3 linked regions of the Saccharomyces cerevisiae S288C genome follow. The protein of the gene in region 1 purifies or fractionates together with the protein of each later gene. This does not show direct contact. Each region holds a gene or a part of one and is shown in the gene's direction. Other genes may lie near its edges.

The links.
Region 2: the proteins of RPS13 (region 1) and ENP1 purify together in Saccharomyces cerevisiae (affinity purification with mass spectrometry; 7 studies listed by BioGRID, with this or other methods). This does not show direct contact.
Region 3: the proteins of RPS13 (region 1) and RIO2 purify together in Saccharomyces cerevisiae (affinity purification with mass spectrometry; 6 studies listed by BioGRID). This does not show direct contact.

What each region holds. Positions count from the first base shown.
Region 1 is NC_001136.10:576,804-582,504, forward strand, and holds RPS13 (40S ribosomal protein uS15 RPS13), read left to right. Parts: upstream 1-2,654; coding exon 2,655-2,675; intron 2,676-3,214; coding exon 3,215-3,649; downstream 3,650-5,701. Other genes in the region: serine C-palmitoyltransferase LCB2, read left to right, coding at 1-1,356; AIM7 (Aim7p), read left to right, coding at 1,860-2,309; RRG1 (Rrg1p), read left to right, coding at 3,884-4,981; RTR2 (putative protein-serine/threonine phosphatase), read right to left, coding at 5,105-5,695. UniProt on the Saccharomyces cerevisiae protein: Component of the ribosome, a large ribonucleoprotein complex responsible for the synthesis of proteins in the cell.
Region 2 is NC_001134.8:712,504-716,352, reverse strand, and holds ENP1 (snoRNA-binding rRNA-processing protein ENP1), read left to right. Parts: upstream 1-1,897; coding exon 1,898-3,349; downstream 3,350-3,849. Other genes in the region: HIS7 (imidazoleglycerol-phosphate synthase), read left to right, coding at 1-1,546; RRT2 (diphthamide synthase), read right to left, coding at 3,599-3,849. UniProt on the Saccharomyces cerevisiae protein: Required for normal export of the pre-40S particles from the nucleus to the cytoplasm.
Region 3 is NC_001146.8:253,672-257,130, forward strand, and holds RIO2 (protein kinase RIO2), read left to right. Parts: upstream 1-1,681; coding exon 1,682-2,959; downstream 2,960-3,459. Other genes in the region: Hsp70 family ATPase SSB2, read left to right, coding at 1-229; YNL208W (uncharacterized protein), read left to right, coding at 747-1,346; RTT106 (Rtt106p), read right to left, coding at 3,117-3,459. UniProt on the Saccharomyces cerevisiae protein: Required for the final endonucleolytic cleavage of 20S pre-rRNA at site D in the cytoplasm, converting it into the mature 18S rRNA. Involved in normal export of the pre-40S particles from the nucleus to the cytoplasm.

The sequences.
Region 1 (5,701 bases):
GTCAGGAGAATTAAAATGAGAATTGATGATTGCTTTTCTAGACCAACTACTGGTGTTCCTGGTAGATTTATTCGTTGTATTGATAGAATTTCTCATAATATAAATGAGTATTTTACCTACTCAGGCGCAGTGTATCCATGCATGAACTTATCATCATATAACTATTTAGGCTTCGCACAAAGTAAGGGTCAATGTACCGATGCCGCCTTGGAATCTGTCGATAAATATTCTATTCAATCTGGTGGTCCAAGAGCTCAAATCGGTACCACAGATTTGCACATTAAAGCAGAGAAATTAGTTGCTAGATTTATCGGTAAGGAGGATGCCCTCGTTTTTTCGATGGGTTATGGTACAAATGCAAACTTGTTCAACGCTTTCCTCGATAAAAAGTGTTTAGTTATCTCTGACGAATTGAACCACACCTCTATTAGAACAGGTGTTAGGCTTTCTGGTGCTGCTGTGCGAACTTTCAAGCATGGTGATATGGTGGGTTTAGAAAAGCTTATCAGAGAACAGATAGTACTTGGTCAACCAAAAACAAATCGTCCATGGAAGAAAATTTTAATTTGCGCAGAAGGGTTGTTTTCCATGGAAGGTACTTTGTGTAACTTGCCAAAATTGGTTGAATTGAAGAAGAAATATAAATGTTACTTGTTTATCGATGAAGCCCATTCTATAGGCGCTATGGGCCCAACTGGTCGCGGTGTTTGTGAAATATTTGGCGTTGATCCCAAGGACGTCGACATTCTAATGGGTACTTTCACTAAGTCGTTTGGTGCTGCTGGTGGTTACATTGCTGCTGATCAATGGATTATCGATAGACTGAGGTTGGATTTAACCACTGTGAGTTATAGTGAGTCAATGCCGGCTCCTGTTTTAGCTCAAACTATTTCCTCATTACAAACCATTAGTGGTGAAATATGTCCCGGACAAGGTACTGAAAGATTGCAACGTATAGCCTTTAATTCCCGTTATCTACGTTTAGCTTTGCAAAGGTTAGGATTTATTGTCTACGGTGTGGCTGACTCACCAGTTATTCCCTTACTACTGTATTGTCCCTCAAAGATGCCCGCATTTTCGAGAATGATGTTACAAAGACGGATTGCTGTTGTTGTTGTTGCTTATCCTGCTACTCCGCTGATCGAATCAAGAGTAAGATTCTGTATGTCTGCATCTTTAACAAAGGAAGATATCGATTATTTACTGCGTCATGTTAGTGAAGTTGGTGACAAATTGAATTTGAAATCAAATTCCGGCAAATCCAGTTACGACGGTAAACGTCAAAGATGGGACATCGAGGAAGTTATCAGGAGAACACCTGAAGATTGTAAGGACGACAAGTATTTTGTTAATTGAATTTTACCTAATTGCTAGTTAGGTGAAAAATTACAAAATTTCTGGAAGACGTTGGAAACACGCAACGTCTTTTTGACATAAACTTAAAACTGCCAAAAGTCAAACAAAAATTGCAAAAAAAGTAAAAAAAGTTACGAAAAAAAAAACATTTAAAAGAAAGAAGAAGTTAAAAGTGCACGCAATATGTTCCAGGATATGAAATGAAATACCTTTTGTTTCACCTTTTAAATAATTTAATGTTATATATACAACTTTATCGTATCATATTCGCAATTACATTATACAAGAATGAGTTTTTTTTTTTCGCGGACAAAAGAAGAACATGTCAACGCCAACCCCCTAGGTGATTTTGTTAGACAAAAGCGAATTAGGATCAGGGTCTGTTAAACTTTAAATGGATTATCAATTCTTTTGTTCACTGATTTTGAATTTATCAGCTACCATTGATTTAAACCCATTATTTAGTTTTGCAATTGCGTCCTCAAAGCATCGAGCAAACAATCATGTCGAACCTCTACAAAATTGGAACTGAAACTAGAAATAAAATCAAGAAGTTTCGTACATCTACAGCAAGAACCGACTCCATAAAAGCTTTATCAATAAAGATCGAACCAAAACCGTCCTATGAGATAATTGTCGATGAAGACGAACAAGAAGAGCTAGACGAAATTGAAGATTTGAGCGAATTAGCCGAGATCCTACCTGATAACTCACCTAGATTTGTACTAACTGCATATCCAACAACAACAAAAGATGGGTTCAAACAGACTCCCTTAGTTCTAGTATATTGGAAGCCAATGACGGTCGTTTCACAGGAATGGAAGATGCTTTATGCCGGCGCATTAGAAATGATCAGAGAGGAGTGCGGTACTTTTAAATTGATAGAGGTTTCTTCAGGTTTGGAGGATGACTCAGACGTTGAAGAATTGAGGGAGCAATTAGAAAATTGTTAGTATAGTCTATCTTAAACACTAAACTACCTCCTATAATCATGTAGTGTACTTTAAACATTTTTTTATCTTCATAGCAATAATATAAGCCTTTTACCACCCATAAACCATAAAGTAGACCCAAACATTTTTAAAAAAATTTTACGTTATAATTTTTTCTTTGTCGTTTTTTCTGAGCGCGCAAAGTAGCGGTGAAATTTTGATACGAATGAGATTTCCACTTCTGTACAGATGGAAATTTATGTTGGCCGACATATATCACAGTCGTGATTGAATTAACAATTTCTTTCTCATTAATATTTATTCTAAACGGTTAACCACTAAATCAATCAACAACAATCAGTCAAAATGGGTCGTATGCACAGTGCCGTATGTTTATTAACACCATAGCGAGATATTAATGCAAAAGTTGCATTGAATAGTTCGCTAAATCAGATGACACTCTAATGTGGAATTCAAAAGTGGATTTCTAATATAATTTGTCTCTGTCGGATCACAATTCTATTACAAGTTCCGGTGTGTACACAGGTATAGTTTATACTGGAGAGTAGTTTCTACTCGCTGTACATTAGCTGGGTGATTCCAATTTCTTTTACAAATATGTTGCATTAGTTTAACAGGTTATACTATCTGCCGTTTCTCAGTATAATTTACGCCGGAAAATTACTGATGGCTAGCCGCCTTTATGAATTAGTTTTCACAAAGCTCATAACATAACACGTTAACCTATCGGAGGAGAACCAAGATTGAAGAATCACCCGGAATAGTTATACTTTAATGGAATTGTATGGTCTGAACGAGGAAATATGTCATGATACACTTTTCTTCAAGCCATATGAATCTTCATGTTACTAACATTCGATAAATTTTTTGGAATATCCAATTCCACTAAATATTACTTTAAACAGGGTAAAGGTATTTCTTCTTCTGCTATTCCATACTCTAGAAATGCTCCAGCTTGGTTCAAGTTGTCCTCTGAATCTGTCATTGAACAAATTGTCAAGTACGCGAGAAAGGGTTTGACTCCATCTCAAATTGGTGTCTTGTTGAGAGATGCTCACGGTGTTACCCAAGCTCGTGTTATCACTGGTAACAAGATCATGAGAATCTTGAAGTCCAATGGTTTGGCTCCAGAAATCCCAGAAGATTTGTACTACTTGATTAAGAAGGCTGTCTCTGTTAGAAAGCACTTGGAAAGAAACAGAAAGGACAAAGACGCTAAGTTCAGATTGATTTTGATCGAATCTAGAATTCACAGATTGGCCAGATACTACAGAACTGTTGCTGTCTTACCACCAAACTGGAAGTACGAATCCGCCACTGCCTCCGCTTTGGTCAACTAGAGTGTTTAAATCATTTATTTCATTATTTTATATGTATATTTTGTATAACTAAAATTGATTTTTTAAACATCTCTTTATAAACGATAAGTTGCATTTTATTTTATTTCACTATTGCTAATTTTTGTGTCCGTTTCTAACTTCAAAGCTGCTCCCAGCCTTTCCTAAGGTTTTCAGTTACCAAGTCTGCCTGAGAAAGCAACAGATTAACACTTTTGTAATGAACAAGTAGAAAATATGGCTCAAAATTTTGGAAAGATTCCTTCTCACAAGTCTTACGTATTGAGCTTATATCGGACCGTTCTCAGAAACATTCCAAAGTGTTGCCACTCATATGCGTTTCAATATGAAATAAAAAAAACACTTTCAATACAATTGTTCAAACACAAGCATGACAAGTCAAGTTGGAGTGTTTATACTTTACTCAATGAATTCAGTTTGTTGAACAATTGCCTTTTGGAAGGTAAATTACAAGAAATCAAAAACTTAATGAAGCCATTAAAAAAGATGAAAAAACAACTGAAAACAACGAAAATCCTCAACTCTTTGACTTCATTAGGGGATGTAAAGACCAACGACCCAGAAGAAGTAAGAAGATTTCATGTTCTAAGTGCTTACATTAAGCGAAAACAAGATTTGGGCCTTTTACCTGCATACATACCAAAAACGTATCAGCACAAACTCCTATTACCATTAGCATTGAACGAACATGCGTGCCTGAAACTATTTCATATTCAGCAAAAATTGAAAAATGGCCCACCTTCTGCTGGGCTGTCATATACAAAAGAAGGAAGGAATCAAATATGGTTTGTTCGGTCACCAATTAACAAGGGCAGACAACAATCGAAAAAGCTGGGAATATTGATACGAAAAGAAAGGAAGGATTCTCAGAAAAATATCGATAATCTCAATTTTTGCGAAATTAATGCTGCTTGGGCATTACATGAGGCCATTTGGGAGGAATATCTAGAGTCGAAAAAGATTATTAAAGTAAACTTACCGAAATACTTGGAATACGCTGCAAATATCCCAAAGTCTACTAAATGTAATCCTTCGAGTCAATATCAGAAAGTTAAAGAATGGGTAGATCCCGTGAGAGAAATAATGTTCGAATTACATTCCAAAAGTTTTCAAAGAGTGGAGTACTTTAACAAATATAAGGAAAAGCTTTTAAAGAACGGTGGCCAACTAGCATATTTTGATAAAAAGTCAAAAGAAATGTACGCCAAACGGTTGACACTATTCAGAAAAATGAGCAAAGAAACATTACCATATGTGACACTCTTTATAGAAGGGAGGGACTTGCCAAGTGTTTTGGCGAAATACGGTTTTTAAGTGCAAAAGTTGCGTGAATCAGAAAGTTTAATAGAAAATTTACTGGTTACTTCCATTTCTATGTAAATAGTCACTCGTATGACCGCGATAAGGATCCTGATGAAGACGATTTAATTATACTTCCTATTCTATACAGGTTTCCTCATCAGTAGTCAACTGTCCAAAGTACACATCCAATGGTAAAGGCTCATTCTTGTAGGTATCATCAAACTCAAGATCCTTGAAACTCGTTATCAGCGATTTGACGGTATCTATAGGTACCTCACTTCCAACTAATTCTTCTAAAAGGCTTACCGAGTACATATCATCAAACTCTAGATTAATGTAACTAGTTAAATGCACGCCTCGCCTTTCATGCAGAGGCGTTTGTGATAACTGTCTCATTAAATACAACGAACATTTACTGTGATAATTATTACAATACATTGAGTGGATAAAGAAGCCATCAGATGAATTTTCTGCCGCACTCTTATAGCATAGCGGGTACCCACATATTTTCTTTCCCCTTCTTGCATTAATAACATCCATATAAGACATCGGTGAAAGTAGCCGTGCTAAGTATTTTAATGTCTGCTCATTTTCGCAAAATGATTCTGTGAGCATTGAAACTATGGCAGATTCAATCATTCGGGCTTCCACTATAGATAATTGCTCATGTAATTGGTGTGATCCTAAAATTACTTTTTGAATGAACGTAGTGGTTATTATCTGCATTATGGC
Region 2 (3,849 bases), on another chromosome or scaffold:
CATATCAGGCACGTCAAGATTGATTTTGCCTGGTGTCGGAAATTATGGCCATTTCGTCGACAATTTATTTAATAGAGGATTCGAAAAGCCGATAAGAGAATACATTGAATCTGGAAAACCAATAATGGGAATTTGCGTCGGGCTACAAGCGCTCTTTGCCGGTTCCGTGGAAAGCCCTAAGAGTACGGGTCTGAACTACATTGATTTTAAGTTGTCCAGGTTCGATGATTCAGAAAAGCCAGTACCAGAAATAGGTTGGAATTCTTGCATTCCCTCGGAAAACCTATTCTTTGGATTGGATCCATACAAGAGGTACTATTTCGTCCATTCTTTTGCTGCCATTCTGAATTCAGAAAAGAAAAAAAACCTAGAAAATGACGGTTGGAAAATTGCAAAAGCTAAGTACGGTTCAGAGGAATTTATTGCGGCAGTCAACAAGAATAATATATTCGCTACTCAGTTCCATCCTGAAAAATCAGGTAAAGCTGGTTTGAACGTCATTGAGAATTTTTTGAAGCAACAAAGTCCTCCGATTCCAAACTATAGTGCGGAAGAGAAGGAACTCTTAATGAATGACTATTCAAATTATGGTCTAACACGCAGAATTATTGCTTGTCTTGATGTACGTACTAATGACCAAGGTGATTTGGTGGTTACTAAAGGTGATCAATACGATGTACGTGAAAAAAGTGATGGTAAAGGTGTTAGAAACCTTGGTAAGCCTGTTCAGTTGGCACAGAAATATTACCAACAGGGTGCGGATGAAGTAACATTTTTGAATATAACTTCTTTTAGAGATTGTCCTTTGAAGGATACTCCGATGCTAGAGGTTCTGAAACAAGCCGCAAAGACAGTCTTTGTTCCATTGACAGTCGGTGGGGGGATCAAGGATATTGTCGATGTTGATGGAACCAAAATACCTGCTTTAGAAGTTGCAAGTCTATACTTCAGATCTGGTGCTGATAAAGTATCGATCGGTACGGATGCAGTCTATGCAGCCGAAAAATACTACGAGTTGGGTAACAGAGGAGATGGAACGTCACCAATAGAGACAATCTCGAAAGCATACGGTGCTCAGGCAGTTGTTATTTCTGTCGACCCTAAGAGAGTATATGTAAATTCACAAGCAGATACGAAGAACAAAGTCTTCGAGACAGAATATCCGGGCCCCAATGGAGAGAAATACTGCTGGTACCAATGTACAATCAAAGGTGGAAGAGAATCTAGAGACCTTGGTGTGTGGGAATTAACAAGGGCATGTGAAGCTCTAGGTGCTGGGGAGATTTTATTGAACTGCATAGACAAGGATGGCTCTAATTCTGGTTATGATCTGGAATTGATAGAACATGTTAAAGATGCGGTCAAGATTCCCGTCATTGCATCCAGTGGCGCCGGTGTACCCGAACATTTCGAAGAGGCCTTCCTAAAGACCCGCGCAGATGCTTGCTTGGGTGCAGGTATGTTCCACAGAGGTGAATTCACTGTTAACGATGTAAAGGAGTATTTACTAGAGCACGGATTAAAGGTTAGAATGGATGAAGAGTAATGTGGTTGGATATGTATACTTTATAATCTTGACTCAGTCTATATACGCAATAATGATAGATGTTAAATCAGACATTTCACAACACAAGAGGATGTACAGCTTGGAGAAATTGTACCAACTTATATGGTTGTATTATTGGTGGTGTCAGTAGGGGAAGAAATAGAACATATTTTTCCACTTTTTCATTTTTTTTTTTTAGCGAGGCATCGGAAATGAAAATTTTTAAAAATCGATGAGCTCCCACTTCTTCAACATTGACGAAAGGAAATATGCACTAAGTTGTTTTAAATCCAAGATTTGTCTCGTTTTAAGACTTACAGATAAAACAATATATTAGAAAGATTAACTATAATGGCCAGAGCATCCTCTACTAAAGCCAGAAAACAGAGGCATGATCCACTTTTAAAGGATTTAGATGCAGCTCAAGGTACCTTGAAAAAAATCAATAAAAAGAAGCTAGCGCAGAACGATGCTGCAAATCACGATGCTGCAAATGAGGAAGATGGATACATAGACTCCAAAGCATCAAGAAAAATTTTGCAGTTGGCCAAGGAACAACAGGATGAAATTGAAGGTGAGGAACTTGCTGAATCAGAAAGAAACAAGCAATTTGAAGCCAGATTCACCACCATGAGCTATGATGATGAAGACGAAGACGAAGACGAAGACGAAGAAGCTTTTGGAGAAGACATCTCCGATTTTGAACCCGAAGGTGATTATAAAGAAGAGGAAGAGATAGTTGAAATCGATGAAGAAGACGCAGCGATGTTTGAGCAATATTTCAAGAAATCAGATGATTTTAACTCTTTAAGTGGTAGCTATAATCTTGCAGACAAGATTATGGCCTCTATCCGAGAAAAGGAAAGTCAAGTTGAAGATATGCAAGATGATGAACCACTTGCTAATGAACAGAATACCTCAAGAGGCAATATTTCATCCGGTTTGAAGAGTGGAGAGGGTGTTGCACTTCCAGAGAAGGTCATCAAAGCATATACTACGGTAGGTAGTATTTTAAAAACTTGGACGCACGGTAAGTTGCCAAAGTTGTTCAAGGTTATCCCATCCTTAAGAAATTGGCAAGATGTCATTTATGTGACCAACCCGGAAGAATGGTCACCACACGTTGTTTACGAAGCAACGAAATTATTTGTATCCAACCTAACTGCTAAAGAATCTCAAAAATTTATTAACCTAATTTTACTTGAACGTTTCCGTGACAATATCGAGACCAGTGAAGACCACTCTTTAAACTATCATATATACCGTGCGGTGAAAAAATCGCTTTATAAACCAAGTGCCTTCTTCAAAGGTTTCCTATTCCCATTGGTTGAAACAGGGTGTAATGTACGTGAAGCGACAATTGCAGGAAGTGTGCTTGCTAAAGTCTCTGTTCCGGCTTTACATTCTTCAGCTGCCTTGAGTTATCTTTTAAGGCTACCTTTCTCTCCACCTACAACTGTTTTTATCAAAATATTGCTCGATAAAAAATATGCTTTACCGTACCAGACGGTGGACGACTGCGTGTATTACTTTATGAGGTTTAGAATTTTGGATGACGGTAGTAATGGGGAAGATGCTACAAGAGTACTCCCAGTGATATGGCACAAGGCTTTCTTAACATTTGCACAACGTTACAAGAACGATATTACCCAGGATCAGAGAGATTTCTTGTTGGAAACTGTTCGTCAAAGAGGCCATAAAGATATCGGTCCTGAGATTAGAAGAGAACTATTGGCAGGAGCCAGCAGGGAGTTTGTTGATCCACAGGAAGCTAATGATGATTTAATGATTGATGTCAATTGATGCTGTAATATCAATTTTTCATCAATTTTATATCGCTCGGTCTTTCCCCCTTTCAACAAAGCTTCTGAATCATGTATAATAAGTAGAAAATATAGAGTAAAAGATTATTGTTCAGGCAAGTTCCTTCCTATCAATTCTTTATGCATAATCTATCGAAATCATCAAAATATGGCCTATATATTAGCCTATATATTAGCCTATATATTAGCCTATATATTAGTCCATATATTGCAGACTGAATTTTTTTTTCTAAACTATCCATGTTTGCAAGGAATTATCATAAAATGAGCATGTTGCGATCAAAGAATTTGACCAGTCGCCACCGTAACACATCGAATCATGGCCCTTCTTCAGATAATGTTGAATTTGAAAATACTCATCGGAATTATCATTCATGGTCACCACCTTGGCACCATTGTACATGCAACAAACTAAAAGCCGATCGGAGCCGTTGTGGTGAGATTGTTCCTGATCAATGGGGGATTCAACAAATCTCCAAA
Region 3 (3,459 bases), on another chromosome or scaffold:
GAAGCACGAAGCTAGACAAAGACTAGAATCCTACGTCGCTTCCATCGAACAAACCGTCACTGACCCAGTCTTGTCTTCTAAATTGAAGAGAGGTTCCAAGTCCAAGATCGAAGCTGCTTTGTCCGATGCTTTGGCTGCTTTGCAAATCGAAGACCCATCCGCTGATGAGTTGAGAAAGGCAGAAGTTGGTTTGAAGAGAGTTGTCACCAAGGCCATGTCTTCTCGTTAAGATGTCATTCTGGTTAAGGTTATACACATATATATATTTTTCATTTTTAATGTCTTAGCTTTTGTATCTTAGATGAAGTTTTAGTTCTGTATATCACGATCAAGATATCATACAATCATAAATTCAATTATTCTTCTGTTTCCCCTCTTGAGGCATCAAACGAGTGTTTGACTGATACACACCAACATACTAAGGCAACTTTTCTGGCTGCCCAAAGCTGTGGCACGTATGAAACTGCTTTTCGGCTGCATAAAACAACCATGTGGAGTTTTTACTGTATTCGCATTTCGCCCCGCTAGCATTCTTCGTTCATGCTAAAAATGAGGCGTGGGCTAATATTCAGTATTAATAATTCCGGCACCCGCACAGCCCATACCGGAAAAGGGGCTGGCTGTTGGGCTTGGCAAAAAACTCAATCTGAGCAGTCATTTATAAAGAAAGACTTTAATTTGTCTTGCTAAACACTTGTAAGCCTTCCAAATATAGATCACTTAAGACAATCTAACAAGTGTCCAAAATGTCTGCAAACGAATTCTACTCAAGTGGCCAACAAGGTCAATATAACCAGCAAAACAACCAAGAAAGAACTGGTGCTCCAAACAACGGTCAATATGGTGCCGACAATGGTAACCCCAACGGTGAACGTGGTTTATTTTCCACTATTGTAGGTGGCAGTGCCGGTGCGTACGCTGGATCTAAGGTGTCGAACAACCATTCTAAGTTGAGTGGTGTGCTGGGCGCCATAGGTGGTGCATTCCTTGCCAACAAGATATCTGATGAGCGTAAAGAGCATAAGCAACAAGAGCAATACGGCAACTCAAACTTCGGAGGTGCTCCTCAAGGTGGACACAACAACCATCACCGTCAGGACAATAACAACAATAACGGTGGATTTGGCGGTCCAGGCGGCCCTGGCGGTCAAGGTTTCGGAAGACAAGGCCCACAAGGATTTGGAGGTCCTGGTCCACAAGAGTTTGGTGGTCCAGGTGGCCAAGGATTCGGTGGTCCAAATCCTCAAGAATTCGGCGGGCCAGGTGGCCAAGGATTCGGTGGTCCAAACCCTCAGGAATTCGGGGGCCAAGGTCGTCAAGGATTCAATGGCGGTTCACGTTGGTGAATGGCTCAACAGAGTGAGTGTCATTTTTAGCTAACTACATACTTGATTTATCTATATATACATATATACTACTCGTTTTATTATGATGTCGTAACAAATGACTTATTCGAGAAAAGAAAACGTGAAAAAATAAGCTAAAAATTTGGCGATGAGGTTCTCTGTTGAAGTTGGAACCCGCAATTCATGATTTTGGTAAGGTCAAGGATCATCAGTAATTAGCTTAAAGTAAGAACTACTCAATAATATTAAACCATTTATCCTTGGCTCGTCTTTCTATTGACCAATCAATACTATTTTAAACATCTCTTCTACCACATACTTTCAATCAGACTAGAATGAAATTGGATACTTCTCATATGAGATATTTGACAACTGATGATTTTCGTGTCCTCCAGGCCGTTGAACAAGGTTCTAGAAGTCACGAAGTCGTTCCAACTCCCTTGATTCATCAAATCTCGGGGATGAGATCGCAGTCCGGAACAAACCGAGCCATTAGTGATTTGGCCAAGCTTAGCCTTATTTCCAAAATGAGAAATGTCAAATATGATGGTTACAGGCTAACTTATAACGGTATTGATTATTTGGCTTTGAAAACCATGTTAAACAGAGACACTGTCTATTCTGTCGGTAACACTATTGGTGTTGGTAAGGAATCTGACATCTATAAAGTAAGTGACAAAAATGGAAACCCTAGAGTAATGAAAATTCACAGATTAGGTAGAACCTCTTTTCATTCCGTCAGAAATAATAGAGATTATCTGAAGAAATCCAACCAGGGGGCAAACTGGATGCATCTTTCACGTTTGGCAGCCAATAAAGAATATCAGTTTATGTCCATGCTTTATTCTAAGGGTTTCAAGGTCCCTGAGCCATTCGATAACTCGCGTCATATAGTCGTTATGGAGCTTATCGAGGGTTACCCAATGAGGAGATTAAGAAAACATAAGAATATACCCAAGCTTTATAGTGATCTGATGTGTTTCATCGTTGATCTAGCAAATAGCGGACTTATCCATTGTGATTTTAATGAGTTTAATATTATGATAAAGGACAAACTAGAGGATGAAAACGATTGTGGGTTCGTAGTTATTGATTTTCCACAATGTATATCTATTCAACACCAAGACGCCGACTATTATTTCCAAAGGGATGTTGACTGTATTCGTCGTTTCTTCAAAAAGAAACTGAAGTACGAACCAAAACCTGATTCATCAATGCTCGACACTGAAGGTTTCGGCGATGGTTATAAATATGCGTATCCAGATTTCAAAAGGGACGTTAAAAGAACCGACAATTTGGATGAATTGGTGCAGGCTTCCGGATTTAGCAAAAAGCATCCAGGAGATAGGGGCCTGGAAACTGCCGTTGAAAGCATGAGAAATGCTGTTTATAATTCAGATGACGATATGTCTAATGACGAGGCCGAAGAAGAAAATGGGGAGGGCGATTATTCAGAGGAGGATGAATACTATGACTCCGAACTTGATAATGAAAGTTCTGAAGATGACAGTGAAGATGCACAAGAAGAGGAGAACGAACGTATTATAGAGGCGCTTTCCAGTGGTGTTGAAAATCTAAAAATGGATAAACTAGGAAACTATATACTAGAGTAGTTTAGTTTAGACGACTGCATAAATGGCCGCAAATAATCAAGTTGTTATCCATAATTTTTTTGATTTTTAAGCCATGTTATTCTTCAGGATAAAAAAAGTGGTATTTATGAACTCTTACATATGCGTATTCATGCTATATTATAATATCGAATCTAAGTCAATCGTATTCTACTCCGGATCCATCCTCATCATCTTCATCGTCATCATTATCAATTTCTATCGGAATATCTTCGAGTTCTAACGGCTCCTTAAACTCTTTGTATTGGAGTTCCTGTTCTGGTTGACCATTTATAGAAGCAAAACTATTATCTCTATTCAAAGCGCTTTGGCCCTTTTTGTCTTCCTCTTCATCGTCTTCTTCATCATCTTCTTCTGCTTCCTCTCCGTCTTCTGCACCGTCTGAGGATTCTTGGCCACTCCCATCGGAAAGGTCGCTCTCAGCTTCGAAATTTTGGTCATTTTCTTCATCATCGTCTGAAAACACACCTGCCTTTTTCTCG